Linked DNA regions of Oryctolagus cuniculus. The protein of the gene in region 2 interacts with the protein of the main gene of each other region in a pairwise test. Links are inferred from orthologs where the notes say so. Each region holds a gene or a part of one and is shown on either strand. Other genes may lie near its edges. The genes, in order: BRMS1L, AMOTL2, NFIL3, SMARCE1, MYO5B, THRA and MFAP1.

Region 1 (4,499 bases), on a different chromosome or scaffold from region 2:
TTCGAGTCCCGGCTGCTCCACTTCCCAGTCAGCTCCCTGCTAGTGTGCCTGGGAAAGCACTGGAAGATGGTCCAAGGACTTGGGCCCTAAACTAGCATGGGAGAAGAAGCTCCTGGCTCCTTGCTTCAGATGGGCGCAGCTCTGGCCCTTGCAGCCATTTGAGGAGTAAACCAGCAGATGGAAGACCTTTCTCTCTGCCTCTCCCTCTCTCTGTCTGTAACTCTGCCTCTCAAGTAAAATAAATCTTTAAAAATAGAGAGAGAGAGGGGCTGGCGCTGTGGCGTAGCGAGTTAAGCCACCACGGGCAGTGCTGGCATTCCATATGGGTGCTAGTTTGAGTCCCAGCTGCTCCACTTCTGATCCAGCTCTCTGCTGTGGCCTGGGAAAGCAGTGAAAGATGGCCCAAGTCTTTGGGCCCCTGCACCCGCGTGGGAGACCCGGAAGAAACTCCCGGCTCCTGGCTTCGAATGGGCCCAACTCCAGCCTTTGTGGCCAACTGGGGAGTGAACCAGCGGATCGAAGACCTCTCTCTCTCTTTCTCTGCTTTCCTTCTCTCTCTGTGTAACTCTGACTTTCAAATAAATAAATAAATCTTTAAAAAAATAAAGTAATAAAAAATAGAGAGGTAATTATTTGACATCTCAGCTCTCGTTAAAAAAGCTAAGAATACTTGAAGCTGATGCTTTACAGATCTAGGAAATATATTTACATACAGTCCTGATCCTTCTTTCTCTCTGTTCCCCACTTTGAAATCTCACCTACATCAATGGCCAGGCACATGATCTTCCAATTATTCCTCCCACCCCAGGCAGATTCCAAGGCCACATTCCCATCTGCCAGCTGGGCATTCTTGGTTGAATACACACTCCTACTTAAAAGCAACACAACGGAAATACCTTCTCTTTGATCTTCATCTCACATTTTTACTTCTCTCTGTCCACTGATGCTATCACCATTCTCTTGGTATCTTGGGTTTTCTCTTCGCTTCACTCCTAAACGTGCACTCATCAATCCTGTTTTGTCCTTTCTTTTGAGTTTCTTAGCTCAGCCTTCTCCCATACCAAATGGTTTCCTCACTCTTGAGTAAGCGTAAGCTCTGGCCTTTGCACTTTTTCTTACATTCCTTGCCCTCCAGGAGCACCTGAACGTTACCACAGCAGTACAAATCCTACTCATTCTTCAGGATAACCCCATCTGCTTCAACCTGCCTTTGCTGGCCATCAATTCTGAAAAGATTTCCTCTTCGTCTCGATTCCTACAGCAGTTTAGCTAAGCACTCACTTAGCAACTTAATCAAGCGGTAACTTAAGACAGCTCTTTGATTGAGAGAGATCAGAACTAGTTAGACCTCAGACTGAGCTGTGCCCGGTGCTACACAAAGAAGTCACTCATAAATATTTATTTTGGGATTGGGTGATTTATTAATCGAAATGACACCCTTCCATGGAGATTTGCTTTGAAAGGGACACGTGAAAGGGGGCGTTAGGGCGATGATGGACTGTCAAGCTGTCATCAGCGCTTCCTTTATGCGGTCCAAATCAGGCCAAGACAAAGAAACCAGTCTCATCCCCGTAACGGGGACAGAAGGAAAAGAGTCCAGGTAGTCACAGATTCCCTCTCTTTTTTGAGTAGCCATTCCCGAAAGTTTGCAGAATTTATTGATGGGGTTAATCTGCCCTCTCCTCCCCTCTCTTCCCACCCTCAAGCCCTGCCATCACCACCTCCCCCACCGTTACCCCCAAAAGTGAAACAGCCCAAAGTCGGGAAAAGGGGGAGGGAAGAAAAGATTGGGAGCATTTCAATGCTGCCCCCCAAACCAGCCAATTCATAAACAGATGAAGATCCAAACCACCCCGATGGTGTTCCCTTCTTCTCAGCCTTGAAAACTTCAGGGGCATTCTGCAAACGGGACAGCTCCCGAGTTAGCCCCCTGCAAGGGCACTTGGTGGGAAGCGCAGACTGACAGGGGGTTAACCCGTTCCAAGCCGGCCAGGAGCACCTGGGGTCCACCCTGGACCCCCACAATCCACCCACGTTGAGAAGTAGGAGTTGCAAAGGTAAGGGTAAGGAGAGAGGTCGGTGGGCTGCCTCCCACCCGGGCGAGACCCCAGGGCACCGCCGGGAGGTGTCTAGGGCGGCTCCCACCGGGGCTGCTCGGGGGCCGAGCTCCGGGGCTGGGCAAGCCCAGGCCCGCCCCGCCCCGCTGGCCGGGACCCTCCCTGGAGCAGGCAGCGCTGGGCGACCGGTCGGTCTGGGTGCAGCCCTGGGCCGGGAGCCAGTCTCCGCCCCTTCCCTCTCTCCCCGCCCCGCTCTCCCAGCAGGACGCGGCTGCCCGGCGTGCGGAGCGCGGCCTGTCGCGCGCCCGGCCGGGGACTCAGGGTCCCAGCCTTGCTGGGTCGCGCACCTGAGCTATCGCCATCCTCCGAGACCGACGAGCTCTCGGTGTCCTCGTCCTCGGAGCTGCTCCCCTCGTTCTCGGCGTAGTCCACCTCCATCTCATCGTGATGGTTCGTCTCCTTCTTATCCCCCCGGGAATGCACCGGCATTTTCCAGCCGCGCCGTCGCTTCCCACTCGCGGCGCCCAGCCCGGCCACCGCCGCTTCAGTGAAGGGCGCGCCGAACGCCCGGACCCACCCAGCGGCCGAGCTTGCTCTGAACCCCCTCGGCTCCTCCCCGCCCCCGGCCCGGGCCTCACAACCTAACCCGCAGGCTCAGCCCTGGGAGCTCTGCCATTGGCGGAGGCCGAGCTCCAAGGCGGGGGCGGGGTTTGCCCTGCTGGGGCACGATTGGTTGCTGGTAATTACAGCGCGGCCTTGCGGTGCGTGTCGGGAGTTGTAGTCCTCAGAGCGGAGACCTGCAGGGGCTGCCGACTTCCAAGCTTCGACAGCCCGGATCCCTTCTTCTTTCTGGACTTCAAATCCCACAAGGCACGAACGCTGGCACCCTTGATCGCAATTTATAAACTAACCCGAAACAGATTGTGCGAATTTGGTCTGTATGTGTGCTTTTCCCGCCAAGTGAGTGTCTGACCACCCTGGCTATCCAAGACGTTGCTGGCAGATATGAAAGAGTTTTTTGCCTGTAGGGCTCTTTGCCTGCTCTTTGAGCTGCAGAACAGAGAACCGCCTCTTCTAGGAGTCTTTATTACGACTAAGAAAGCGTTACATTGAATAGTTAACTATGCAAGGTAACTTGCACTTTCTGTGTTGCACAAACATCTTTAAAATTGTTCTTGAAACTTTTGCAATTGATAATACAGAAAGAAATTTTGGCTTGGCATTCTCAATCTAGTATTTTTCCATTTATTTTTTACCAAATGCCGTTGGAAGATGCCACTGGTATTGATTTAACTTCACTTTTCAACGAAAACTACGTATGTGACCCAATGAGATGTTATATATTCTCAAGGATAGGGTACACAGACAAGGAAGACTCAGTTCCACAATCACAACTCAAATTAATTGACCATTTTTATTCTGCATCAAATGTCTTGGTAAGCCTGTTGCATGGGCTACCTTGAATTTAGATATCAGTTCAAGAGTCCTAAGCAGGTGCCATTATTATCTTCATTTTGCAGGGAGGGAAATTTCATTTGCAGACAAAACTTAAAACTATATTTTACCCATTATAAAGAAGGGACTTCTTGTTGACACGACAATTTGCTATGGAAATATATTTCATGCAGCATTTCTTCTTTTTTAAATTTTATTTTATTTGAGAAGGGGACGGAGAGAGAGAAAGGGAGGCGGGTGTGTGACTGCCATTCTGTGGTTCACTCTACAAATGCCCACAACAGCTGGGGCTAGGCTAAGCTGAAGCGATGTGCCACGAACTCAATCCAGCTGTCCTGTGTAGATAGCAGGGACCCAACTTCTTGAGGAGTTACCTGCTGCCTCCCAGGATGAACATTAGCAGAAAGCCGAGTGGAAGCAGAGCTGGGACCAGAACCCAGGCACTCCAGCATGGAATGTAGGCATGCAATACAGCATCTTAGCCACTAGGTCAAATGCCTGCCCCAGCATCTATTTCTCAAAAGCCAGATCCCAACATTTGATAGAGGATGGTAAGAGTATCCAGATGTAACTGCATTCGATTTGTAATTTAGTGACAGGAAACATTTCAAGAGCAATCTACCTGCTCCAAAGTAAATCCAGATCAAGGGACTTGATGAAGCATGGGCTTTCTTCTCCCCTTTTCATGATAGCTCCCAAACTGAATTCCTTACATTTCCAAACACACCAGCTGTTTCTCATTTTGCACATTCTAATCCCTCTGCAACCCTCTTCCTCCTCCTCTTTTTTTCTTAAAGTCACTTTTTAAAAAAGATTTATTTATTAGTTGAAAGGCAGAGTTAGAGAGGCAGAGACAAAGAGAGAGTCTTCCATCTGCTGGTTCACTCCCCAAAAGGCCACAAAGGCCGGAGCTGGGCTGATCTGAAACCAGGATCCAGGAGCTTCTTCCAGGTCTCCCACATGGCTGCAGGGGCCCAAGAACTTGGG
Region 2 (3,774 bases):
GCAAAAGCCATCAGGTTTGTAAGCTATTAAGAGAGGAGAAGGTGGAAAGACCTAGGTCCTGATCTTGGGGAGACAGGTAAGAGCTGGCTAGCTTTCTCATCAAGGCTCCTGGCTGTCTTTCTCCCACTCCCTGCTGCTGGGCTAGGACCACGTGGCAGAGCCTTGGCTAACACTGGTGAGTGGGAGTGACCATGCAGCAAAGGTTTCCCGGAAACCTCAGGAACCAGGCCCGGAACACCACACCCCGGCATCCGGCATCCTCGGATGCCCGCCCTTGCTCTGCTACCTGCATGCAGGCGTCCGCTCACCTGCTGTGCGCGCAACACCTTGAGTTCCTGCTCCAGGCGCGTGCGCAGCCGCAGCTCCAGCTGCTCGCGCTTCTCGCAGGCCGCCTGCAGCTGCCCGAGCGCCTGCTGCAGCCGCTCCACCTTCTCCACGTATGCCTGCTTCTTGCGCAGCTCCTCCTCGGCGCGGGCCGCCCGCGCCTGCGCGTTGCTCAGGGCCTGCTCCAGCAGCTCCGCGCGCCGCCGCTGGTCCTCAACGGCGCTGCGCAGCAGCGCTGTCTCCCGCTCCACCTTCTCCTGCTCCTGCTGCTGCTCGTAGCCTGCAGGGAGACGTGGCCGGGTCAGTGATGGCGACCTCCCCGACTGGATGAGCACAATTGCTTCTCATCCTCACAGCAACCCTAGGAGGTAGGAGGAACCCTCTGAAGCTTTGATTGGACTTGGTTCTCCTTAGTTTGAGCTTTCGGGCCACGTGTGGCCAAGGGCCTGCCTAGGACGATGAGTTCTGGGATGGGAGGCTGATGGCTTGGATCCCTGGCGTGTGGAAGAGAGGATGCATTGACTCAGGGGACTGGGGCAGGAGCCAACCCAGGCCAGCTCTTGGCTTGCTCAGGATCTTTGAAAAAAAAAAAAAAAAAAAAGAGGCTGACCAGAGACATCTGCACTGAGAATTCTGCAGCCCTCCGGGGTGGCTCCTGCAGCAAGGAATGGCTGCTTAGGGCTGCCCTGTACAACCTCTAAGGCTCTGCTGGGGGCTGGGAGGCTCGGGCCTTGGTCATCCCCAGCCAGCGGGACCCTGACAGAGCAGCCAGGGCCTAGCAGTGGGGTGCGGTTCCTGCGAGGGGGAGAAGGGCCCACAGGCCCCCCTGCCCAGCGTCCCAGCCTCCCTTGTGTCGCCCTGTCCCCTCCCAAAGCCTGGGCAGCGGCATAGAGCAGGGCGCCAGGCCGCAGCAGCGGGGGGAGCGGCTGGGAGCGGAACAGCCGGCTCTGGAATGCCAGGCATCCGGGTCACCCACAGCTGCCAGATTAATGGCTCCAGCCAGGAGCCAAGAACAGCCCGGCTCTGGCTGGCTCGCTCCCCAGGGAGCGGAAACGCCTCCCAGGCCGGCTGGATGGCTCCCCCTCCCTCCCCAAGCAGCCGCCCAGAAACCCGCCCCAGGACTTCCTTTCTGCTGCAGGGCCAGGCCCCCCAAAGTCCTCAGCTCCCCCAGCAGCCAGACCTCTCCAGACTCCTAGGCCCCTTCCCTCCCCCTCAACCTCCCAGGGGTCCCCCTGCCAGAGTCCCCCACAGCCATGGCCGCCCCAGCCCACCCTCATCCAGCACTGTCCTGCCCAGTGGCTTCAGCGCTGTTCCCCTGTCCCGTTCCCTGCTTTGGGCTTGAAACCCTCTCTGAGGGCCCTGTCCAGAGCTCCATTCTCGGGCTGCTTATCCACTGGACATGACCCCTGTGGTCTGTGCCACACATAGCAGCTCTCCTGGTGGACAGCAGCCATTGCCAGCCCACTCTGTCCTCAAACCCTGGAACTTCCCACGAGCTGGGCCATCCGCATTGCACCCAATGCCTCCTCACTTGTGGCCAGTTCACCATGCCCATCACCAGGGCTGCTCTCAGGCCACTGGGGACTCCCTCATCAGCACCCGCCCATCAGCGTTCTTGTTCCCTTCAGGCCTTGGGAACCTGCTCCCTCCACAGCCCACCAGTCTCCCCTGAACCTCCCAGCCACTTCCTGGGGCTGCTCCCACTCCTCTGCTAAACACTTGCCTGGTGCTTGGCACAGATCTGCAAGCGAACACATGGAGGAATGACTGAATGAATGAAGGGACTAGTTACTGAGCTCATCTGCCTTGCAGGGGGTGCTGGACTTCCCCTTCTGAGAAGCCTCTAGAAGCTCTTCTTCAGACTGCACCTGTTGGTGAAGCACCTGGACTGTCTCAGGTGCCCCCACCTGGCCGCCTCGTGGTCCACAGGCTCCTCCCTTCCCTGCACACTTACTGTTACCTGAAATTCCCTGGCCAACTCTCAGCTTCCTCCTGCAGGGCTGTCCGCCTCCCTCTGCCCGGTGCCCCTCTGTTGCTGACCAACACAGCTCTCACAAACACTGTCCCCCAGCTCTGTTCACCTTCCCAATAAATATAGAACCTGATCTTTGTCTTCCTCGAAAGCCAGCCCAACCCCCTACACATGCAGTCCCGGGCCTGCAGGTGGGTACCATTTGGTAAACAGCACCCCCAGCACTGCCGCGAGCAGCAGCGGTGCTGCCACTGCCTGCAAGTCGACCCGGCTTCCTCTTTGCGGGACCCTTACTTACTCTGAGCAAGCAGCTTGGCCACCATGTCCTGACTGCCGGCCTGGGCCTCCTGGGTCCTGCTCGCCAGACGGCGGTTTGCAGATTCCAGCCTCTCTGTTTGCAACGAAGGAGAGATGTTTTAGTCACAGGGAGCTGCTTGTCGGTGTTTTCCCTGGGGTCTGCATCGTCTAAGCTAGGGCTGAGCTCATTGGGATGCCCCTGGTTCCACTCAGGGCCCGATGAGCGACCTGGGCCACGCGGTCGGAGCTCCATGAGGGACCCCAAGGTACAGAACAGACAAGCCTCTGTCTACGAGACCTGGGCTCCTCCGAGTCGAGGTGCACTGATATTTTTCCCCCCAGGGAACATGAACCAAGCCCTCCACAGGTGCTCCCCAACTGGCTGTCACCTCTGAGGTCCCGGTTGAAGTCCTGCAGCCTCCTCATTTCGCTGTCCATCTTGTTCCGCATGGTCTTCTCCAGGGCCTCCCGCTTGGAGGAGGCCCTGGTCAGGCTCTCGTGGGCCTCGGACAGCCGCTGGATCTCGCTTTCCAGCTACGAGAGGTAGACAGCAGAGCTGAAGGGAAGTGAGAGCGCCAAGGGCGCGACCCCGGCCAGTCGCTGCTCTCCATCACAGAAGGGGACGGGAGCCAAAGCTCCAGGGGGCTACCGTGGGAAGGTCAGAAGCTGCTGGCCTCCACGGTGCACTGGGACTGCTGGGCACCTCAGCTCGGCTGTCCTAAGGACCAGATGCTGAGTGACCCCAGGGCCAGGACTCCGGGACCCAGAGTGACCAAACACAAACTTTGCTATGCTCACCATTCAGAAAGAAGCATTTTACTCCTGCTGGTTTCTGTCGGGAAGGCCGAGCATGCGGGCCAGCAGTGGGCACAGACTTCTGCCATGTTCAGGTGCTTTGACCTATCTGCCACTAACAGGCCACTCATCGAGGCCTGAGGCCATCTGCATACCACTGGTCACTTTTCACCAAGGAAGGGACCCCAGCACGGGGCTGAGCGCAGAGAGCCAGCCCCGCCCCCCTCCAACCCATAAGCTGTCCCTCCCACTTGGCCGCAGGCAGCTCCCGCACGTGCTCCTGGCCAGCCTGCTGCCTAACAAGTCGCTCAATTTTTTTTTTTTCCACGAGGAGGGGTTTTTCTCTTTGGCCAGGGCTGGCTTGGAACAGACAGGCTGTTGTGTGG
Region 3 (4,501 bases), on a different chromosome or scaffold from region 2:
CTAAACCCACATCAGGGTTGGTTTTCATCAAGATAGCCCACTCTCTGCGATCACCGTGTCGCTGAGCGGCTGTCCCTGACAGCACCCAAGGAGCTGTGTCGGGAAGACGTCAAATCATGTATGGCACAGCCCCAGCTCCCGGGTTGCGGCTGGGGACGCCGAGCTCGGAACCGCAGCGCGGTGCGGCGACGACAGGGCAAACGTCCAAGCGACGGGGGCCACAGGCATTGGAAACGTCACGCCAGGTGCCCACGAGGTGTGCGGTGTTAGCGCGCCGGACGGCCCGGGCTTTCGGCCGCCGGTCTGCACGCCCCTCTGTGTCTCCAAACGCAGGGGAAGAAAACGGAGCCGCGGGACGCTCAGCCCAGCCTGCACGCAGCCCGAGCGACAGGGGCGGGCCGCCCCACCCGCCACATGCCCTGTTTGGACGAGCGTGCGCGCCATAGCCAGGAACATGGCTCCCTCGGCCCAGGCCGGCACGCCCCTCCACCCGAGACCCCGACACGCGCACGGGGCTGTGCTTGCTGCGCACCTCCCCAACCTCACACGCAATGATTTCACAACTCGCGGCTGGGAGCGCTCCCCCGCATTTATTTACGTCTCCCCAGGGAAACCCCAGAATTTGAGGGAGAAGGCGACCGCATCCGACTAGGGGCAGAAATGACACCAAAGGGCTACCGGCCCCTGATCGCCAGAAGCGACCCTGCGCGGTCGGCTCAAGCTCCAGCGCCCAACGCCAATGGGCGTCCCAGTGCGGCCAGTTCCCCCCGGAGAAAGCCGCGGCCGCCTCTCCGCGTGGCCCGGGGACTGAGGGGGGCCCCCACGACCCTCGTCCCCCAGTTGCGTGACGCAACAACTTCACAGCAGACCTCATCGTGCAAGGGGAGGTGTTGGCGCGTGCAGCGTAGCCTGCGTGCCCGGGGCCGTCTCCAGGACGCGCGGGGTATTTGAGTCTCTGCTTCTCCCGGAGCAGCTCTGCCCCGCCGCCGCCCCAACCCCTTCCCCGCCGCGGCACCCCCGAGGGCCCGCAGCTTCCCGGCCGCCACCCGCCGCCTTTCCGGCCTCCCGCCAGCTCCACCGCGCAAGGGTCGCTCCTCTCCGCAGTGTTGCGGGAAGGCAAGGCCGAGGTCGCTGCCACGCCTCGCCCGGTGCTCGGTCGGCAACAGGTAGCCCGGCCGGCGCCGCCGCCGCCGCCGCTGGGGGAGACAAAAAGCGCATCTGCGAGCAACGAGGGTCGCGGGGAGCCCGGAGCCACCACGGCAAGGCCAGGCCCGGGGGTCCCGGGCTCCTCCTCCCCAGGCTCCTCCGCGCCGCGCTGGCTGCGCCGGCCGTTGCGCAACCCGGAGCGGGGCGCAGGGCGCAGGGCGCGGGTCCTGGCGGACGCCGGCTCGGGCGGCGGCGGTGTCCGAGGCCGGGGAGGGACGCGCACTGGTGGCGGCGCCGCGGCGGAGTGCAGAGGGGGCGGGGCCGCGGAGAGCCCGCCCCCCCGGCCCGCCCCTGCCGGCCGCGGCCATTGGCGGCGGGCCGGGGGCGGGTGCGGGCGCGGCGATTGGGGCTGCGGCCGCCCGTCACGGCGGGGCTGGCGGGCGGCGACGTAGCGCGGCGCTCGGAACTGACCTACTAACACACATCTCTCGGCGCGGCCACGGCGCCCGCGGACCCGGCGCGCCCGCCCGCCTCCCGCGCCGCGCCCTCTCCGCCGCCGCCCGCCGCCCGCCGCGGCCCCGGAGGCCCGGCCCGGAGCCGCGAGCCCCGGCGCCGCCAGCCCGGCTCCCGATCTCCCCTTTCTTTCTCCTCGCCGCCCCGGTGCGCCGGCCCGGGAGCAGGAACACGGTAAGCGCTCCGCCCACCGCCGGCCGGGGGGCCCCGCGCCCGCTCCCCGCCCGCTCCCGGGGCGCGCGGCCGGGCTGGCGCGGGGCGTGGGGGTGCGGGCCGAAGGGTGCGCGGGGCTCGCCGGCGGCGGCGAGCGTGCGCGGGCCGCTCGTTACATAAACTTTTGCTGCCTCGGTCGGGATGGGACTCCCGCCCGAAGGTGGCTGCTTTGATTGCAGCGCGCTGGCGCCGCCGGCACGTAGTCCTGCCTGGGGTGCGCTCTCTGCCGCGGTTGCATAACGTCTCCCGATTTCGGGAAAATTGCTGTTTTGGTGGGGAAGCGGCGCCGGGGTGGTTGCGCCCCCCCCCCCCCCGCCCTGCGAGCGGGAAGGTGCGCCCTGGTCTCCGGCGCCTGGCCCCTCCGCGGGGCCGGGGGCGGAGAGGACAGGGCTGAGGAACGGGGAGCAGTCTGGCTCTGCGTGTTGGGGACGCGCGCTGGGAGCGCGAGCGGTGACGGCATCCGGAGAATGCCTGTGTCAGGCGCTGTGTGTGCCCAGACGTCTCCCAGCCCGTGTGTCGTCAGCGTGTTTTACAAGCCCTCGGGAAGGTTGTGGGATTTGTCCTCGCGTGCGTTGCGTAATCTGCCCACGGCGCAGCGCCGGCAGGGTGGTGGGGAGCTGCGCGCGTGTGCGTGTGCCGCGGTGTGGTCGCGGTCGCGCGGCGCTGAGCCCCGGGGCGCTGTTTACATCCACGCGAGGTGTCCCCCACGGCCCTGCGGAACGTCGGAGGCAGCTGGGGCTTGGATTCGGGGCTCGGGGTCCCCCCCCCCCGAGAGATTCCGAGCCGTTGTTTTGAAATCTGGGGCGAATGCATTGTGACGTCTGCCTCCCCCTACCCACCCCCCTGATCCAAAGAAATGCGCTGCCTCTTAGTAGCCCCCGTTCGCCCGGGGTCGCCGCGGCTGTTTCCGACGCGACAAGACAGCGCACATAATAGTTTCCTGGAAATGTTGCATTATGTAACTGCCGGATTTGCTGGCATCGAGCGTAGAAAGAGGGAGCTAATTACGCGATTTTATAATCTCGCTACAAAGAAACTAGGGCAATCTCAGCCTGGAAAAATGTCACTGTAACAGTTCTTTTTTTTTTTTTTTTTTCCCTCAAGGATATTTTCAACAGGAAAGTCGACAGCCCTATAAGCGCCGAGTCTGCGCAGCAGGCGGCCGAATGCGTGTCTTTTTTGCCCTAAATGAAATGTGCGTTCTTCTAAATTTAGCGCCATCGCGTTTGAACAATTGCGGCCTCGCGGAGCTATTCCTGGTGTTTTCTCCGGGGCTGCGTGCACATCCAAGTTCAAGGCCGCCTGCTGTAGTTTCACGGCGCACGCCCTCGGAGACCTTTGATAAGGCTGTATTTTTAGGAAGGCATTTCGCTGCGCCTCCCTCTAGCTGGAGGACACTTGGGGAGCCGCCGGCCCCCGGCCCCGGCGTTCGTAAATACCACCAGCTAAGGAGGTCAGAAGTGTGTGTTTCCCGTCGTGTGCTCGCCCCCCCGGCCGGATGTGATTTATGGGGAACAGATATAGGTTAGTGGATTGTGTTTCTGTCCGGATACCCTAGTTTCACTTGGGCGCTGAGCACGCAGAGCGCCCTGGAGTCCCCACCTAGTGCCATTGCGAGTGCCTCTATGCATGTGCCAGTGTGTCCATGAGCAGGTTTACACACACGCACACCCACTGAACATTTAAATAATTAAAGCGCGTGGTTATTTGTAAGGGGTAGTGGGGCCTTATTATAGCGATTCGCAGCCGGAACACGTTACGTTGTCCCAATCACAACTGCGGTGGCTCTCGGAGAAGCTGGCGGCTCGCTTTAGTCCTCTCGCCCACCCCCCACGCCCACCTCCCCACGCCCACCCCCCAGCCTCCAGCCCGGGTGAGAGCCCTGGCCTCTAGGGGCCGCGTGGCGCCACCTTCCGACCGCGTCCTCGCGTGGCGCGTCCCGGCGCCCCTCCCTCCGCCCCGCGGGGGTCTTCGGGCAGCCGAGGCTACCGACGCCGGCCCCGCGGGGCTCCCCTGGTGCGGGTGAGCGGGCGGGGACGGCGGCTCGAGACCGGGAAGCGTCTCTGGGCGGCGGCCGAACGGGGACCGCTCGGTGGCCGGCGCGCCTCCCCGCCCCCTCCCCACATTCCTTTGTTCTGGCGCGGGGGGTCCTCACGGCGCCGAGGCCCCGCTGCGCCGCCCACCCGGCGGGAGGCGGGTCTCGGGGAGGCGCGGCGTGCCGGTGTGCTCGCGGGTAGCCCAGGCCGCGGGCGCGGGGGCGCGGAGGGGCCGCCCGGGCGTCTCGGCGACGCGCTTCCCGGGGGGCAGACGCGCAGGCCTGATGCACGCGTGTGGCACGGCGAGGTTCCGAGACCCGCGCACACCTTTGTTCCCCAAGGTCCTCGGTGCGTTTCAGGGCCAGCACGTCCCCATTCCTGGAGCCGAGAGGACCCTAGGGAACACGCAGAGACCGCAGAGGGTGGGGGGTGGGGTGCTCCGGGATTTGTGGGGCTGGAAGGGCAGCCTCGGTTTGGCAGTGGCCACTGGAGCTGAATGGGGGGGGGGGGGGAGGTGGACATGGTGGTTCCTTTTTTTTTTTTTTAAACCTTCTGTTTCTATGGGCAAAGGATAGTTCAGAATAAAACCAAAT
Region 4 (4,224 bases), on a different chromosome or scaffold from region 2:
CATTTCAGGGAGGCCTAACAGTTGCTGTGGAATCTGTTTCATGGGTTGGGCAACTATTTTACATGCTGACCAAGCTGGGTCAGAGCTTGCTGGGTGAAGAAGCCGGTTCACCGCTATCAGGCAGATACTTTGAAACATTCTCAATTCCCAAGCCAATCAAATCTAATTACAGCGTGGAGTCAAATTTCATAGCAAAATCTGACCCACAGATAATGAAATCCTCACTTGAACAGCTTGAAAATAAAGATTTACAATGAGTGTAGTTATAGAAGTAGGAGCTTTGTTTGATTTAATATGGAAATTTTATATATAGAGACAAGAAAGGAGAGAAAAATGTAACCAGCTGAAGGTTAGGTTTAAAAAAAAAAAAGCCAGAATGAGCACTCACTCAATATCAACTTAAAGACTCTGAGAAAGAAGTGTTAAACTTGTTAACTATTTCCCATTAAGAAAAAAAAAAAATAAAACAAGTAAATTCAGCATAGGAGGTAGGAATTTCATAGTATGTTTCTTTAAATGTTGGGGCTGGTTCAAGATCAGAGGCAAAGAGTTATTTTATTTAGAAGGAAGTCTGTTTTTTAGCTGAATTTTCATCCTGTTACTGTGATGATTGAGTGACTGTCACTGGAAGACATCTGGGTTTTTGTATCAAGGCCAGACTCGGCTATTACATTAACAAGAAAATTAAAACTTACTGTTGCAGGAGCTGGGGTGGGAGGTGGGGCATAAGATGGTCTTTCTGTTTGAAAGAAAATAAATAACTTCTTGTAAACAACTGAGATATAATACTATGCAACAAAACTACCAATGGTCCTGTTTTGAAGAAAAAAATGAGAGTATTTTGGAATTCCCACTTGCTAGGGCATTAGTCTCTTATTAACATAGATTGATAAATATAAAAATTGAAACTTACTTGACATTTTGGAAGATTAAGTTCTCAGTTCCTTAAGAATGAATCTGAGACACTAAAATAAAAAAAAGGAAAAAAAGGAAAAAAAAAGAGAATCAAAACTCAGCAAGCATGAGAATGTTTCCCTAAAGAGGGCAGTTTGATTGGTACTTTTGAGTAAAACTACATTATCTCTCAGTACTCAAGCCTTGCGCGTATTTTACTAGTCCTTGTAGGTCATCTGGGTCATCAGAATTAAATGACTCGAGTAAGTTCCTGGGATATTTAAGTATCAGAAATATACTCTCAGGTTCTGTCCTAAGCTGCCCCACCTCTCGCACGGTGAACACTTGGTAATTGGGAAGGCAGTGGTCACACACTGTGCTGTGCCACCTGTCCACACCAACAAGGCCTGCTGGATGCTGCCAGCGCCCGGTCAGTTCCACCTGGCTTCTGGTCTAGCAACCTCTGTTCGAACAGGGCAGCTCTGTATTCCCGAAGGCAGCGGAAAAGGTAACAGGTATACTAAATGCGTTTCACATTCTTTTAAAGCGGCAGATAGCTTCGGACTCGCTGGAAATACATTGAATTCACTGTTCCCTCATCTGCACTCCCATGCAGAGCTAGGATACTGCTTACTGTAGCTTTTCAAAACATCTGCCAATATGGCTGGACTGGGTGCTGCTCTCGTCACCGTATCCCAGTCTCTAGTGCGATTCCTGATAGACGTTGTCCTAGGGTTCCCTGCTCACAGTAGGGCCAGAGCTTGTCCTTCACATCAACAGTCCCGAGGGGTTTAAAAAAAAAATCCGTGTTTTGGAAAGAAGACAAACTCCTATCCTGGAGCGCCTTCATCCAGCCTCACGGGAGATAAGCAGGAGCTACCTGCAGCACCAGGGTGCAGGTCGGAGCCCAGGGTGCTTTCCCCCTCTGCCTTTAAAGCCCGGCGGGAACCTCTGACTTTGTTGCAAATTTCCTTGCTGCTCAGCCGGCGAGCTGTCAGCATCCAGGAGGCCTTGCGGTGTGGAGCCCTGACGGGACAGCCAGCAGCTCCCTGCACTGGGCGCTTCACGCTAAGATACACTCACAGACACTGCTCGCCCCCGGCGGAACGCAGGCTCTCAGAGCGGGCCAGGGCCCCTGTGCACCCCCTGACGCCCTCCCTGCGGCCTGGCCCTACACAGACGCTCGGCAAGCATTTGTGGAATAAGGCAGGACAGGCTTAGGAGAGCAACCCTGCTGTCCCATTTTACAGATCAGAAAGGGGAGTCTTGCAGACTTCAAAGTAACTCTTCGAAACCACGCCGCTAGGAAGCGGCAGGAGCTGGGGTCCGCACCCAGGCCAAGTCCGCTCACGCCAAGCCGGCCCCGCGGGTCCTCGGGGCCAGGGCCCCGGGCCGGGGGTCCCTTCCGGGGCTGAGGGCCCTGGGCTCGCCTCGCCCCTCAGGGCTGCCTCGGAGGTCGCTTCCTCCACGCCTGCCGCGGGGGATGCACTTTACCAGTAATTCCCCCAAACCGGGGTATGCGTGGGCGCCCTGACCGGGTTCGGGGTGGCCGGAAGGGGCCATCCTGCCCCTGAGGAGGGCCCCCCGTGAGGACTCCCTCCCCACGCGCGCTCCGCTAGGCCTCAAGGAGGCCTCACCGGCTCTCGGCTCCGGCCCCGCAGCCAAGCCTGACCCCCAGCAACCCCCGGGGACCCGGGGTCCCGCCGAACGGAGGCACCGCGACCTGCCACCCTCCAGACCAGGTCGGACCCACTAGGAAACACTCACCCGCGGGCAGAAAAAGCGCCCGCAGCTCCGGCTTCGCTTCCCTTTGTCCCGCGCACGCCCCGCCCCTCACGTCCGGAGCTTCCGCGCTCGCACTTTCCACACTTTTTCTCAATTTCTTCTCAGGCCCCACCGACTGTCTTCGGAAAAAAAATAAACCCGCTCCCGAGGACGCGGCGACGCTTAGTACAGCCAAGGATTTTTTTCCAGGCCCCGTACGTTCCACAAAGCTCCTTGGATTTGGATGCTTTCCCAGTCGGGCGCCGATTCGTCACGGCGAGGAAGGCGGAGGTGGCCCGATCGCGATAGGCCCGGTTCCCGCGGCGGTGAGGGGTCCGAGCGGCGGCGGCGGCGGGAGGTGCCGAGCCCTGCCCGAGGGCGTGGTGGCGAGGCCCGCGGCCTCGGCTTCCGCGCGTGAGGCCGGGAGACGCAGGAGCCGCTGCAGGGGGAGGCCGCGCGCGCCTCGGGCTCCGGCCGCGGCCGCCCCCGCGGGACCCCCGGCGCCGGGTCTCCCGCTTCCCCTCGCGTCGCTGGGCGGCAGGACGAGTGTTCCCCGTGCTTCTCAGAGCGGACGACGCGGGCGCGGAGGACTCGGCCTGGAGGGAAGCAGCACGGGCTTTGGCTGGCCACAGGTTTCCGAGCGAGGGCCCTGGTGTGGCCTTGCAGCGCCGAGGGTGCCTGCTGCTGGGCTCTGCCCCAGATCCGCCTTCGCCGGCTGCGTAGACTCCTGTGCCGTTTGGGATGCAGCTCAGCCGTGCCCTCGGGAGGCCCTCTTGCAGTGCCCCCCCCCCCCCCCCCAACAATCCTTCCCTTGTACCCCCAGGCCTTTCCATCTGGCCCTTAGGAAGGTGTGTCAGCTTTGCAGTGCCGGTCACCGCTGAGGGTCTGGAGCCCAGCTCGATGCCCGTGACATGGGCACCGCGGCAGCCCTCTGGCCTGCTCCAGCCAGGGCCCTTACCCCCCAAGTCGTTGGGGCTCTTTGCTCACCGTCTGGAGTGAGTGGCCCCTTCCTGGGCTGTGAACACCCTTGGGTACTGTCGTAGGCCCCTGGTGGGAGAATGAACAAATGGACACCCCCCGAATGGTACTCACTTGGGCACGGGGTGGGCCTTATTCTTAGCCGCCCTTAGCGCCCCTCTGGGACGAGCCAGCAGGAACAGGGGCCTATGGGGGCGTCCCTGCAGAGCTGGGGACAGCTGATACCGGGGCTTCCCCTGCGAATAGGAGAGAGTGCAATTCAGGAGCCTAATGGGGGAGCGCCTGAAGGGAGAGGGGCTTGAGGGGCGGCTGTGGAATTGCTTTTCCAATATGAAAGCATTAAAGGATGGGAGGAAGACACGGGGGACGGCCTGGGCGGGGGTCCCAGGACCTGTTCTGGTTTGACCTCTGCCTTTGGGGTTCTGGGCGGGGCCTCTGAATTAAAGCTGCAGTGTTGGCTGCCGGGGACCCAGGGACCATGCACCCTGCCAAGGGGTGGGGGTGGGATGGCACACAGATGGAGGGGCTCTGAGTGGAGCAGATGCTGGCACGCTTTCTCACCTGGGTGCTACTCCACGGTCACCTTCC
Region 5 (3,774 bases), on a different chromosome or scaffold from region 2:
CAGACTGGTTCCTTCGTTCCTCGTCGGCAGACTACGTTGAGCCAGTCACGCTGTGGGTTCAAGTCTCGTCCCTGAGAACCCGAGCTCACGTGAGGACAGCCTAAGAGAAGGAGCTCTTGGTCCTGCTCTGGCCTTAACGTATTTCCCCTCCGCCCCATTCAGAACCTCTCTCAGCAGGTGGAGCGGTGAGCCTCAGTGCCACGTGGCACGTGCAGTTCTGAACTTGCAAAGCTTGTGTACGATGTGACGTCACAGAGGCCTCTGGTTTGAAACCAAGGACAGTTCTGTGCCCTGCAGCCCACCCCCCCCTTCCATTGTAAAAGCAAGTGAGCCCACAGAATTTCCACCTCCCGGCAGAGACGGAGCGCGGCCATGTCCCAGAGGTAGGACCGGCCGGGGTGGCACAGCCCTGTGTCATCCCAGGGCGGAGAACCTGTCAGAATCTGTCCTGGCACAAGAGGTGGAAAAAAGCTTTCAAAACCATTGCACGACTTTGGCTGACGCTGCCTTGCGAAGGGTGGGCGGCAAGGTTTGGGCAAGGAAGGGAAGAACGGAAAGGCCGAGGGACGCCCAGGGATGTGGGAGTGGGCCGGTGTGGAGGCAGCTGGGACGCTTCAAAGTGTGGCACGGGTAACCAGGTCACGGGCTGAACACAGCACGGAGGAGCTCTCCTGGGGCCTGGAGGTCAAATGGCATGGAGCGTGAAAAGAGGCGCGCAGGCCCAGCCATCAGGTGTGGTTGGGAGCATAAAGCCGGACTTCTGGGTCAGTCTGTACAACTGTCCTGGCCACTGGGTGCTCTTCCCCTGTGGCCATCTTTGTCCATCTTGAAATAGGCATTTACGGAAACGGCTGTCCTAAGGTGGCTTCAGCAGGACAAGGTCACCCGGGCCCTCTGAGGATGGACGGGCTCAGCAAGCTCACTCCCCTCTCTTACCACTGACTTGGTTCAGGCGTCCTCAGCAGGGGCCCTCGAGCAGGTCTCCTACGTCCTGCCTCATTCCCTCTTCCAGTCTCCAGGCATGGTTAGTGCTGCCCACCGCCTGAGGCCCCAGCAGGTGCCCCTTCCTGAGGACGCACAGTGCCTTGGAACTCATCGGGACGGAGCCAGGATGCCTCCCGGGAACTCAGCCGCTCACTCACCTCGTCCCCGCTGTACTGCTTCAAACAGTGGAGCAGGCGGCAGGTGTTGGATAACCAGAAGGTCGTCATCTCAAAGTCGTCATTGTGCTTCTGGGGGAAGAAGAGGACACCCCCAGCTCTGAGTGGTCCTGTCTGCTGAAATGCCTACTCGGGCCTCTTCCCACATCCTGCACCCCATCCAGCACTCCACGGAAGCCCTGATGCAGGCAGGGCCCCTGCTGGTCCCCAAGAGGAGACCCACTGCCAAGAGATTGCAGGGGTGGCACCCGGAACCCCTTTCCTGGTCGCCAGCCGGGGGTGCACACACAGGAACACACATGCAACAGACCGACCGCTTCCCATGGCTGAAGCATGCAGAGTGAAGTGACGGCGATGAGACTGGACCCTGCTCTAACCACTGGGGCTCCCTGCCCTGGTCAGAACTGCCTGTTTTCCAACTCAGGGGACGGGAGGGCATGTGCCAGTGAAATAATTTGGGGTCCCATTTACCCAGAGGCCAGCTGTCCAGTGGCTTCCACTCTAGAAAATGGCTACAAACCATAACTAAGGTGGGGGGAGCCATCAACAACCCCGAGAGCGGTTTCTTGACTGAAACCCCCGACTTCAGGGTGCTCGGTCGGGCAGAGACGCATTGGCACCGATTCAAGGGCAGAGCACGGATGAGCTGTGATGATGCGACAGGAGTTGAGTACAAAGGGCCCAGTGGGGCTGGGGCCTGCTAACTGGGCTCAGGATCAGGGAAGGCCGCCCTGGGGAGGTGACATCAGCAGTCAGTCCAAGCCAGGCCCAGACTGACCGAGACCCCGCCTGCTGTTCCTGAAAGAGGTCAAGGCCGAGACACAGGTCTGAGAGTCTCCAGAATGTGGAGCCACGAGCGGATACAACTGCCTGTGGAACCCAGCTCCCTGCTGATGTCTGTGGGAAAGCAGACCTGGGTGAAGCTCCTGGCTTCGGCCTGGCCATTGAGGCCATTTGGGGGAGTGAACCAGTGGATGGAAAATCTCTAACACTGCCTTTCAAATATTTTTTTTAAAAGAAACAGAGAAAACAGCAGTGACAGTGGAGCCCTGGGCTGCTAGGAGACACAACATCCTCTCCCTCTCCCCTACTTGGCCCTGGCCCCTTGCGGACAGGACTCACCTCCCTGCAAGCTACTCTGCTCCCACCGGGGCCGCCACTCCGGCCGTGAAGAGCCTCGTGCGTTTCCGAGCTGCCTCGACAGCCTGTGGGCAGCCCCGTCCTGGCCCAGCTGCCTCACTGCGGCCCCTGAGGAACGCCAGCAGCACTGCCCAGGGGACAGGTGAAGGGGGCTGGGCTCCAGCTGGGGCTTCACCAGGACCAGGCCCCCCCAGCCCTTGGCTGTAGCAGGACGTCTCCCCAGCTTGTGCAGCAGCGGGCAGGCCCAAGCATGGCAGGCACTGGGCAGCCCTGGAGGGCTGCTCCGGATTTCTGGCTTCCTGCCTCATTGAGTCCGAGCCTCCTGGCTTCCCAGGTGCCTCACTCGCCACCCCGAAACCCAGACACAGAGAAGCAGCAGTGGGGGGATGGCCGCGCTGAGCCCAGCTTTCTGCAGGGGCACTGACCTTGAGGACTTTCTTGATGCCGTTGATGGTGGAGGTCAGCAGGGAGTGCACCTTGAGGTCGTCGTTGGTGTAGTCCGCGTGCCGGATGCACATGTAGAGGATGTAGGCGGGGAGGCAGGGCACGGTGCCCAGCAGTGTCTGTGGCTTCAGGTCTGCCAGCAAGGACAGCAGCAAACGGCCAGGGTTAGACAGGGGAGGGGGCGACACCCGGGGCTCGGAGCCCTCCTCCCAGAACTACTCCTGGCAGCTCGTCTAGGAACAAGAGGGTTGGGAGGGAAGCTGGGGAGAAGCCGCCAGCTACACAAACGCCCTCCGGCCCCAACGGCCAGCGCTTTCGGACGCTGCAGCAGAAAACCAAGATGAAACCACGTGGCTCAGGGCTCGCCCTGCACCACTGAAACAGGCCCCGACGCCTCCTTCTTACTGTGAAGGAAGAGCCCAGAGCTACGCGCAGACACAGGGGCCCTAGCCCCCAGGAGGCCAGAGGCAGGCTGCAGACAGGACAGGGCTCCCCAACCTGGCGAGAACCCTCGACTCCTGGGGACCACCGCTCCCTGCAGCAGAATGTAGGGGCTGGCCCCAGGAGAACTGGGCAAATCCTGTGTTCCCAAAGAGAAAGCCAGTCGGCCACGCACAGGGAAGGCTGGGGCCACCTTTGGCTGTCACTTTAGGGACAGATTACCTGGCGACGCTGGCCCTGAATCCTCCCAGGCAGACGGGTGGAGCAGGTCACAGCCACCCCCGCCCTCCCCCAGCTGCTGTCCCCTGCAACCCACGCCCCTACTCCTGGGCCAGGGCTGCTCTGGCAAGACCCGCAGACACAAGCTCGGTCCGCTGTCCCCTCTCTGCTAAAGCCTCGGGAGGGCCAGGGAGAAGCTGTCACACTGCTTTCACTTCCAGAGCATGCTGGGAAACTCGCGAGCCAGGCCTAGGGCAACCATGGGGACAGGAGCCCAGAGGCTGGGGGAGGCCTGGCGCAAAGACAAGATGATGAGTGAAGACGGTACCCCTGGGTCTCACTGCAGCCCACACTGTATCTCCAGTGCCTG
Region 6 (3,774 bases), on a different chromosome or scaffold from region 2:
TGCCTTGTCCCCACACACGACACACTGCTCGTCTTTGTCCAGGTAGCTAGGGATATACCCTGGGAGGGAGGAAAGGAGCGGGCAGGCATGGCTCGGGGTCCCGGCAGCTCGGCGAGGCTCCGAGACTTTCTCCTGCCCCAGCCTTCCCTTTCTGGCCTGTGGCACAGCCCTGCCTCCCTGCAGGGCTCGCTGTCTCCAGGTGGAATCCTGGGGACAGGTCACTGGACATCGTGTCCACCCCCTGAGAAGACACAGCAGCTCAGTGCTGACTGCTCGCTCACAGCTAATGGGTGGGGGAAGATGGACGTGGAAAATGGATGGCGGCAGCTCGGGAAAGCAGCTTGGGAAAGAAGGGAAGAGGCACTTCCTGACTTAATCCATCCTCAAAGCCCGGGTCATGCCCTCATCACCCCTCTCACTCCAGACAAACCCACCTCCAGCCCTCCATAGGCACCTGTCATGGGTCAGAGGGAGACCTGGCGGGGGTTGGGGCAGGAAGAGGGGGCACACACAGCCAGGCTCACCTGACATGCTGGTTTTCAGGGAACATTGGCCGTTCTTTCTTTTTCGCTTTCCATCTGGTGACCTGGCACTAGATGGGGGCAAAGTGGACAGAATCACGGAGCGGTCTTTGGGCAGCCCCCTCCTCACCCGTGAGGTTCCTAGAGTCCCCCAGGCCCGACTCCCTCCACCTTGTGTCCTCATTCCACCTCCCACCCCCAGGTCAGCTGACAAGGCTTAGAAGCCTTTAGCTATCTGAAAGCTGCAGGGGAGAGAGATAAGGGCCTTGGCTGGGCACAAGCATGTTCCAGGGCCCCAAGGTACACATCCACACGGATACAACACACACACACACATACCCACACACATACAACACACACATACCCACACACACAACACACACATACCCCCCCACAACACACACATACCCCCCCACACACAACACACACATACCCCCACACATACAACACACACATACCCACACACATACAACACACACACATACCCACACAGGCACACACACATGAATATACAGCACACACATGAACACAGTACGGGCACACACATCCACATCTACAACCACACTGTAGATATGAAGCACCCACAATCCACAGAACAGGACCACCACAGATCCAAGCCTTCCGTGGATGACAACTGTGCCAAAATAATCCACAGGATAAGCTTAACCTTCAGAACACACACATACACATGCACATGCACATGTATGCAATATGACACCAGCGTTCATATTAATAGCTTTGCAGCCTTCAGAATAAACCCAAGTACGATACACCACCATCTATGCCACTTCCAGGGCATTCTCAGATGTGTTATATGACCTCTAGGATATGCCCACATGTTACACAACTCTCTGGACAGGCACCTGCTAACACCGCTCTCTCTCTCTGCAGTGTGGACATCCAGGTCAGGATTGCATGCTTAGTAACCCACAGTGGCAAATGACAACGACAGTCACCCTGTGTACGGCCTCCATTTAACACAGGCCTGAACCAAAGCCCCACTTGTGCCTGGTGACACAGCACACAGGAGACACAGGCAGGGCAAGGACCCTGAGCCTCTTCATGCCAGGGATTCTCAGCCACCTTCAGTCCCTGCACATACATGTCACCAGGCTCTCCATACATGTTACATAACCTCATCACACACGGCTTACATAAGCCCTCTCCGTGCATGCGAGGGTTGTATAACCTCCCTCTCCCATCCTGCATGTGGCAAGTGCAGGGCCCCTCCTCCTGGAGCCAGACGCAGTTCCCAACACACTGACATAGTGACCTTGGCCAGGGTCACAGTCACAGACAGCCCCGTGCTCCACACCCCCTGGGGATTACCCTGTCTGGTTCCGACAAGGCTGGAGGGTCAGGTCTCCCTCCCGCCTCCTCTGAGGGGTGGGTGCAGGGCACCTGAGGCCTCCTAGGCCCCAGTGCAGCCCGCGCCTTCAGCAGTTTACAAGACTCCCAGCCTCTGGGTGCAGTCCCAGGAACAACCACAAGGTGGCGCAGGGACATGGGGGAGGGGAGGATACTGGGGGAGGGGCTGCAGTCCTAAGGGACTGAGAAAAGGCACTCTCGCCTTTGTCCAAGGTTTAGGGGCAGACTCTCCAGATCCACATTAGCCTGGACGGGGAGCTACAGCGGATGCAAGTGACAGCCACGTAGCAACAGGCCGGATCCTCAGAGTCCCGGTTGGGGTGAGGCTTTGGGGGTGGTTACCCTGGTGCCTACCCCATTTCGAGCCCCATCCACTTCCTCCAGCCCTCCAGGGACCCAGTGTTGGGCCCCAGGGCTTTGCCTGGCCAGGCCTCCAGCCTCCTGGCTCGGGATCTGATCTCCTAGGCAACAGCCAGCCACACTGCTCCCCAGAGCACCCCACCCCCACTCTCTCCCTGGCCATAGGCACAGCCTGTACCCAGCTCCCGGGGTTCCATGCCAACTGGGACAGAGCTCTGTGCCACTTGGATCCAATGGCAGAGGCAGAGACCCTCTGGGTTTCTCAAGGGCAGCGCAGATCACAGGTAACCTGTCCCTAGTGTGCATACAGCGCCATGCCTCACCCATGTGTAAGCAAAACCTTCACAGCTGGCATGCATTTCCACTTCCTGGGAGGAGCTCCACGGCAGTGTCCGCCTTTGACCATGAACAAGGAAGAGCTTGTGGGGCTCCCAACAGATTCCAAATCTCAGCATAGGCTGTGACCAATAGTTACCGGTGCATGGGCCTGAAATGTCATGTTACGAGCACCACAGCCTGTGGACAAGGCACTTGTAAGTGACCAGGTGGGGCCCGGGCTGCCAGAGAGGAGAGGAGGGACACAGCAAGGCCGTTTGGATCCCACGTGCTCAGGTGAGGGTGGCAATGACAGAGGGGCCTCTGGGGGCACCTCAGGCTGCCCAGCACCACCCAGGGAAGTGCCGTGTGCCCTCCTCTGCCTGTAATTACTCAGGTCTCTACCACCGGCCCCTGCAAGATGGGTATCTCTCAATTCGAGTGCCTGGTTCCCTGCCACCTCTGAGCGTTCCCTGGGCTCTAGGACGAAGGTGGATAGCAGGCCTGCTGTCTTTGTGCCCCATCCCCCAGAGCCACTCAACACAGAGCTCTTTCGCCCAAGATCGACGCGTAAGAGCTGGTGCAAACTCGTCGCCAGATTCGTTACCTGTTCTCCTCTGGGTCTGACCCACACTCCACCTTGCTTGGCTTCTGTTCCATTCACTTCAATTCCATCCAGGATGCCCTCCAGCACGCCAAGAGACTGGGGTGGGCACGCTGGCCCCCCCAACACGCCCACAGGCCGCCCACCCCCCGCCACCCAGGCCCTAGGGCACAGCACCCATGGTACCCGCTCAGCACTTGGCCTTTCACACCATGCCCTGCACCCCAAGGGGGGCGGGCGGTGGGAGGGGCCAGGGAGTGGCAGGTGGGAGGGTTGAGGGCAAGCTGGGTCCTTGGGGGGGTGGTCCTGGGGGTAGGTGCTGGGAGAGTAACTTCAGAGTCTCGTCCTGTCCGCGGATCCCTGCAGAGAGAGGAGAGAGGCCAGGTAAGGAGGTGCCATGGTAGAAGGGTGGGGAGAATCCCTTTGGTGGCCACATCTGGGGCTCCGGGGGACTATAATAAAGCGACAGTGGACATGGAGGGTAGGTGTGGGACAAGGAACAGGGTTACTCCTCTAGTACAGGCACAGCAGGCAAGACTGGATACCCACATCCTCAGCCCCACACAGGGGAAGGATGAAGGGAAAGACAAAGCCATCCAGGTACCA
Region 7 (2,604 bases), on a different chromosome or scaffold from region 2:
CAGTAAGACTGATGTCCCATTTCATGGGTCAACTTTTGTTCTATGTACATCTACAATAAAGACAGACAGGATAACCAAAACATTTGTATTTTTATACATGGAATAAACGTGTTCCATTGAAAGTATCAGTTTCTGAGAACAAAGGGGATGGTTAAAATATGAAACATCCTCTGTTGAATTCCCTGCTTTTACTTATTAGGTAGTTAATATAAGCCTGTGTATTCTGTGTTTGCATCATGATAAAAATCGGTGTGTGACTTTTTATTTGACACACATCAATGGATCAAGAATTACATTCACTTAGAAAAAACTGACTCCAATTAAAAATGGAAAACATTTCAATGAGCTTAGATTTCCTGCTATGTTACTCCCAACACTAAGGTAGAAGAAAGGCATTGTCCACTCCACTCACATGCTCATGTTTCTGACCCAAGCTAAGGGTCTGGAAAAAGAATCTCAGAACAACAGTCCCAAGTAAATATGGGAAACCACAGCAGTGATGAAACCCGAGATTTCTCAGAAATAGTTTCAAATGGGAAGGCTCCAGTACCCACATAGTGCTTTTCTGTGGGATTCTCAGCATGAGTCCAGACCTCAAAAAGCACCTTCAAAGACAGGACTACCTGTTATCACAAGTATGGTAGAAGGTCCAATAGCCTGGATATGCGGGCCATATAAATAATGGGAAAAGCAAACTGAAGACCAGATGCTAAGACTTGTTGTGTCCCATAGGTGGAAGAATTATGTAGTTGAACCCTAAGTAGTTTTCCGTTTCTTGGCAGACGGTCGCTCAAATACATCCCGTACCCCAGCTGCCTTCTGTTTGAAGAACTTGGTGTTCTGGGCACTTTCTTGACCCCATGCTGAATCAAAGGAGGTGGTATCTTGATCCACAAGGTGGGTGTATTTGGTACGGCCAGAGCGTCCAAAGTTCTTGACCTGAGAAGGATGAATGATGAGTTACACGTAACACCAAACATACTACACCTCTGTCCTCAATATATGATCTTTCTCTTATGTTACTAAGGTTCCCCATACCTGCATGACTTTAGGAAGAATGGTTTTGTTGAAATGATCCTCCAGGGTAGGTGCACTGAAATCTCTCTTGTATACTTCTTCATCCTCGTCCTGCAGAAATGAATATAATCAGTTATTTTAGTTCTATTCCCTTTTATTCAAGCCAGAGTTAATATAACAAAGGTTACAGAGATTATTGAGTCATTCTTCAAGGGCTTACACGAGTTACTATAATCTGTGTGCTCATTTACGCACATGCCTTCAACTATGAACAAGCCTCTCAACTCTGAATTTTCTACTGCCTTTTATATTATTTTAACAGATATTCCATTGGGTCTTAACTCATATCTAACTGCATAGGTGGATTTAGCTGGATAGGAAGCACAGAATAGCTGGCTGGGACTGGAATCTGATAAGGGATGTAAGAGCCCCAGGCATGGGTTAACTTACCATGCCACAATGCCCACCGTTGATTTAACTTCTTTGTAAGTAGGCCCAACATTCTCTTAGTTAACATAGTTTCAAAACTGGAGTAATCTTGTGTATATTCAATCAGTTGCCACATCTCATAAACTCTTATCACGTAGTTTTTTTCCCTACCATTAATGTTTCTAGAATACAATTCTTTTTTTTTTTTTTTTTTTTTTTTGACAGGCAGAGTGGACAGTGAGAGAGAGAGACAGAAAGAAAGGTCTTCCTTTACCGGTGGTTCACCCTCTAATGGCCGCTGTGGCCGGCGAACCGCGCTGATCCAATGGCAGGAGCCAGGTACTTCTCCTGGTCTCCCATAGGGTGCAGGGCCCAAGCACCTGGGCCATCCTCCACTGCACTCCCTGGCCACAGCAGAGAGCTGGTGTGGAAGAGGGGCAACCGGGACAGAATCCAGTGCCCCGACCGGGACTAGAACCCGGTGTGCCAGCGCCACAAGGCGGAGGATTAGCCTAATGAGTCACGGTGCCGGCCTAGAATACAATTCTAATTATGTATCTGCCTTGCTCAAAAACATCAATGGTTCTGTAGTAGGTAAGGCCAAATATAAGCCTTAATCTGTTTAGTTCTTTTTGCCACTTCCTTTTATAGCTGATACTTTTCTGCCTCCCCTCCTGCTGGAATGTCTTAACACTGAAAAGTCAAGTCAATCATCTGAAGTGTTACCTTTATACATGTCATTGTTTTCAATCAACCAAATACAACATCTCCCTCTTTAGAAACTGCCAGAGTACCTTCAGTAGACTTAGACCTACTTTTAGATTGTGAGCCTTTTGAGGGGAGGATTTTATATTCTTTGGTAGTGCATAAAAGGATACTTAATGAAACATAGCGAATAGTTTTGAACCAATGTGTCAGATTACAATGCTGTGGCAGAGATTACACACATACATGCTAGAGGTAATAAAAACAGCATCATCTTGGTTTAGGAAGGACCAGTTTTAAAGACAGGACTATTAACAGTTTTTGTGAGATCTTTTCTACTGTGGACTTGAAAGTCCTTCATTTAATCCTAGAAGCCATTTCAATTTTACTCTCCTGGTCCAGAGTTAATATTTGAGTACGTGTACCAAAAGACTGACTTCATATAAACTTTAC

Evidence for each region.
Region 1: the proteins of AMOTL2 (region 2) and BRMS1L interact in binary tests that used the Homo sapiens proteins (3 or more experiments, as listed by UniProt). The two-hybrid records come from large-scale screens. The link is inferred for Oryctolagus cuniculus from reciprocal best matches to the Homo sapiens genes AMOTL2 and BRMS1L.
Region 3: the proteins of AMOTL2 (region 2) and NFIL3 interact in binary tests that used the Homo sapiens proteins (3 or more experiments, as listed by UniProt). The two-hybrid records come from large-scale screens. The link is inferred for Oryctolagus cuniculus from reciprocal best matches to the Homo sapiens genes AMOTL2 and NFIL3.
Region 4: the proteins of AMOTL2 (region 2) and SMARCE1 interact in binary tests that used the Homo sapiens proteins (3 or more experiments, as listed by UniProt). The two-hybrid records come from large-scale screens. The link is inferred for Oryctolagus cuniculus from reciprocal best matches to the Homo sapiens genes AMOTL2 and SMARCE1.
Region 5: the proteins of AMOTL2 (region 2) and MYO5B interact in binary tests that used the Homo sapiens proteins (3 or more experiments, as listed by UniProt). The two-hybrid records come from large-scale screens. The link is inferred for Oryctolagus cuniculus from reciprocal best matches to the Homo sapiens genes AMOTL2 and MYO5B.
Region 6: the proteins of AMOTL2 (region 2) and THRA interact in binary tests that used the Homo sapiens proteins (3 or more experiments, as listed by UniProt). The two-hybrid records come from large-scale screens. The link is inferred for Oryctolagus cuniculus from reciprocal best matches to the Homo sapiens genes AMOTL2 and THRA.
Region 7: the proteins of AMOTL2 (region 2) and MFAP1 interact in binary tests that used the Homo sapiens proteins (3 or more experiments, as listed by UniProt). The two-hybrid records come from large-scale screens. The link is inferred for Oryctolagus cuniculus from reciprocal best matches to the Homo sapiens genes AMOTL2 and MFAP1.

Annotation. Positions count from the first base shown.
Region 1 is NC_091443.1:39,765,229-39,769,727, forward strand, and holds the start of BRMS1L (breast cancer metastasis-suppressor 1-like protein), read right to left. Parts: upstream 2,973-4,499; 5' UTR 2,547-2,972; coding exon 2,405-2,546; intron 1-2,404. UniProt on the Homo sapiens protein: Involved in the histone deacetylase (HDAC1)-dependent transcriptional repression activity. When overexpressed in lung cancer cell line that lacks p53/TP53 expression, inhibits cell growth.
Region 2 is NC_091435.1:147,068,763-147,072,536, reverse strand, and holds part of AMOTL2 (angiomotin-like protein 2), read right to left. Parts: intron 3,128-3,774; coding exon 2,983-3,127; intron 2,688-2,982; coding exon 2,595-2,687; intron 2,430-2,594; exon of another isoform or gene 1,953-2,429; intron 693-1,952; exon of another isoform or gene 605-692; coding exon 309-604; intron 1-308. UniProt on the Homo sapiens protein: Regulates the translocation of phosphorylated SRC to peripheral cell-matrix adhesion sites. Required for proper architecture of actin filaments.
Region 3 is NC_091432.1:139,817,631-139,822,131, reverse strand, and holds the start of NFIL3 (nuclear factor interleukin-3-regulated protein), read left to right. Parts: upstream 1-1,694; 5' UTR 1,695-1,833; intron 1,834-2,976; exon of another isoform or gene 2,977-3,396; intron 3,397-4,501.
Region 4 is NC_091448.1:21,885,868-21,890,091, reverse strand, and holds the start of SMARCE1 (SWI/SNF-related matrix-associated actin-dependent regulator of chromatin subfamily E member 1), read right to left. Parts: upstream 2,801-4,224; 5' UTR 2,662-2,800; intron 966-2,661; 5' UTR 921-965; coding exon 914-920; intron 740-913; coding exon 696-739; intron 1-695. UniProt on the Homo sapiens protein: Involved in transcriptional activation and repression of select genes by chromatin remodeling (alteration of DNA-nucleosome topology).
Region 5 is NC_091441.1:28,195,668-28,199,441, reverse strand, and holds part of MYO5B (unconventional myosin-Vb), read right to left. Parts: intron 2,878-3,774; coding exon 2,726-2,877; intron 1,233-2,725; coding exon 1,143-1,232; intron 1-1,142. UniProt on the Homo sapiens protein: May be involved in vesicular trafficking via its association with the CART complex. The CART complex is necessary for efficient transferrin receptor recycling but not for EGFR degradation.
Region 6 is NC_091448.1:22,355,910-22,359,683, forward strand, and holds part of THRA (thyroid hormone receptor alpha), read right to left. Parts: intron 3,529-3,774; 5' UTR 3,225-3,528; coding exon 3,172-3,224; intron 593-3,171; coding exon 525-592; intron 60-524; coding exon 1-59.
Region 7 is NC_091443.1:66,689,909-66,692,512, forward strand, and holds the end of MFAP1 (microfibrillar-associated protein 1), read right to left. Parts: intron 1,129-2,604; coding exon 1,039-1,128; intron 940-1,038; coding exon 757-939; downstream 1-756. UniProt on the Homo sapiens protein: Involved in pre-mRNA splicing as a component of the spliceosome.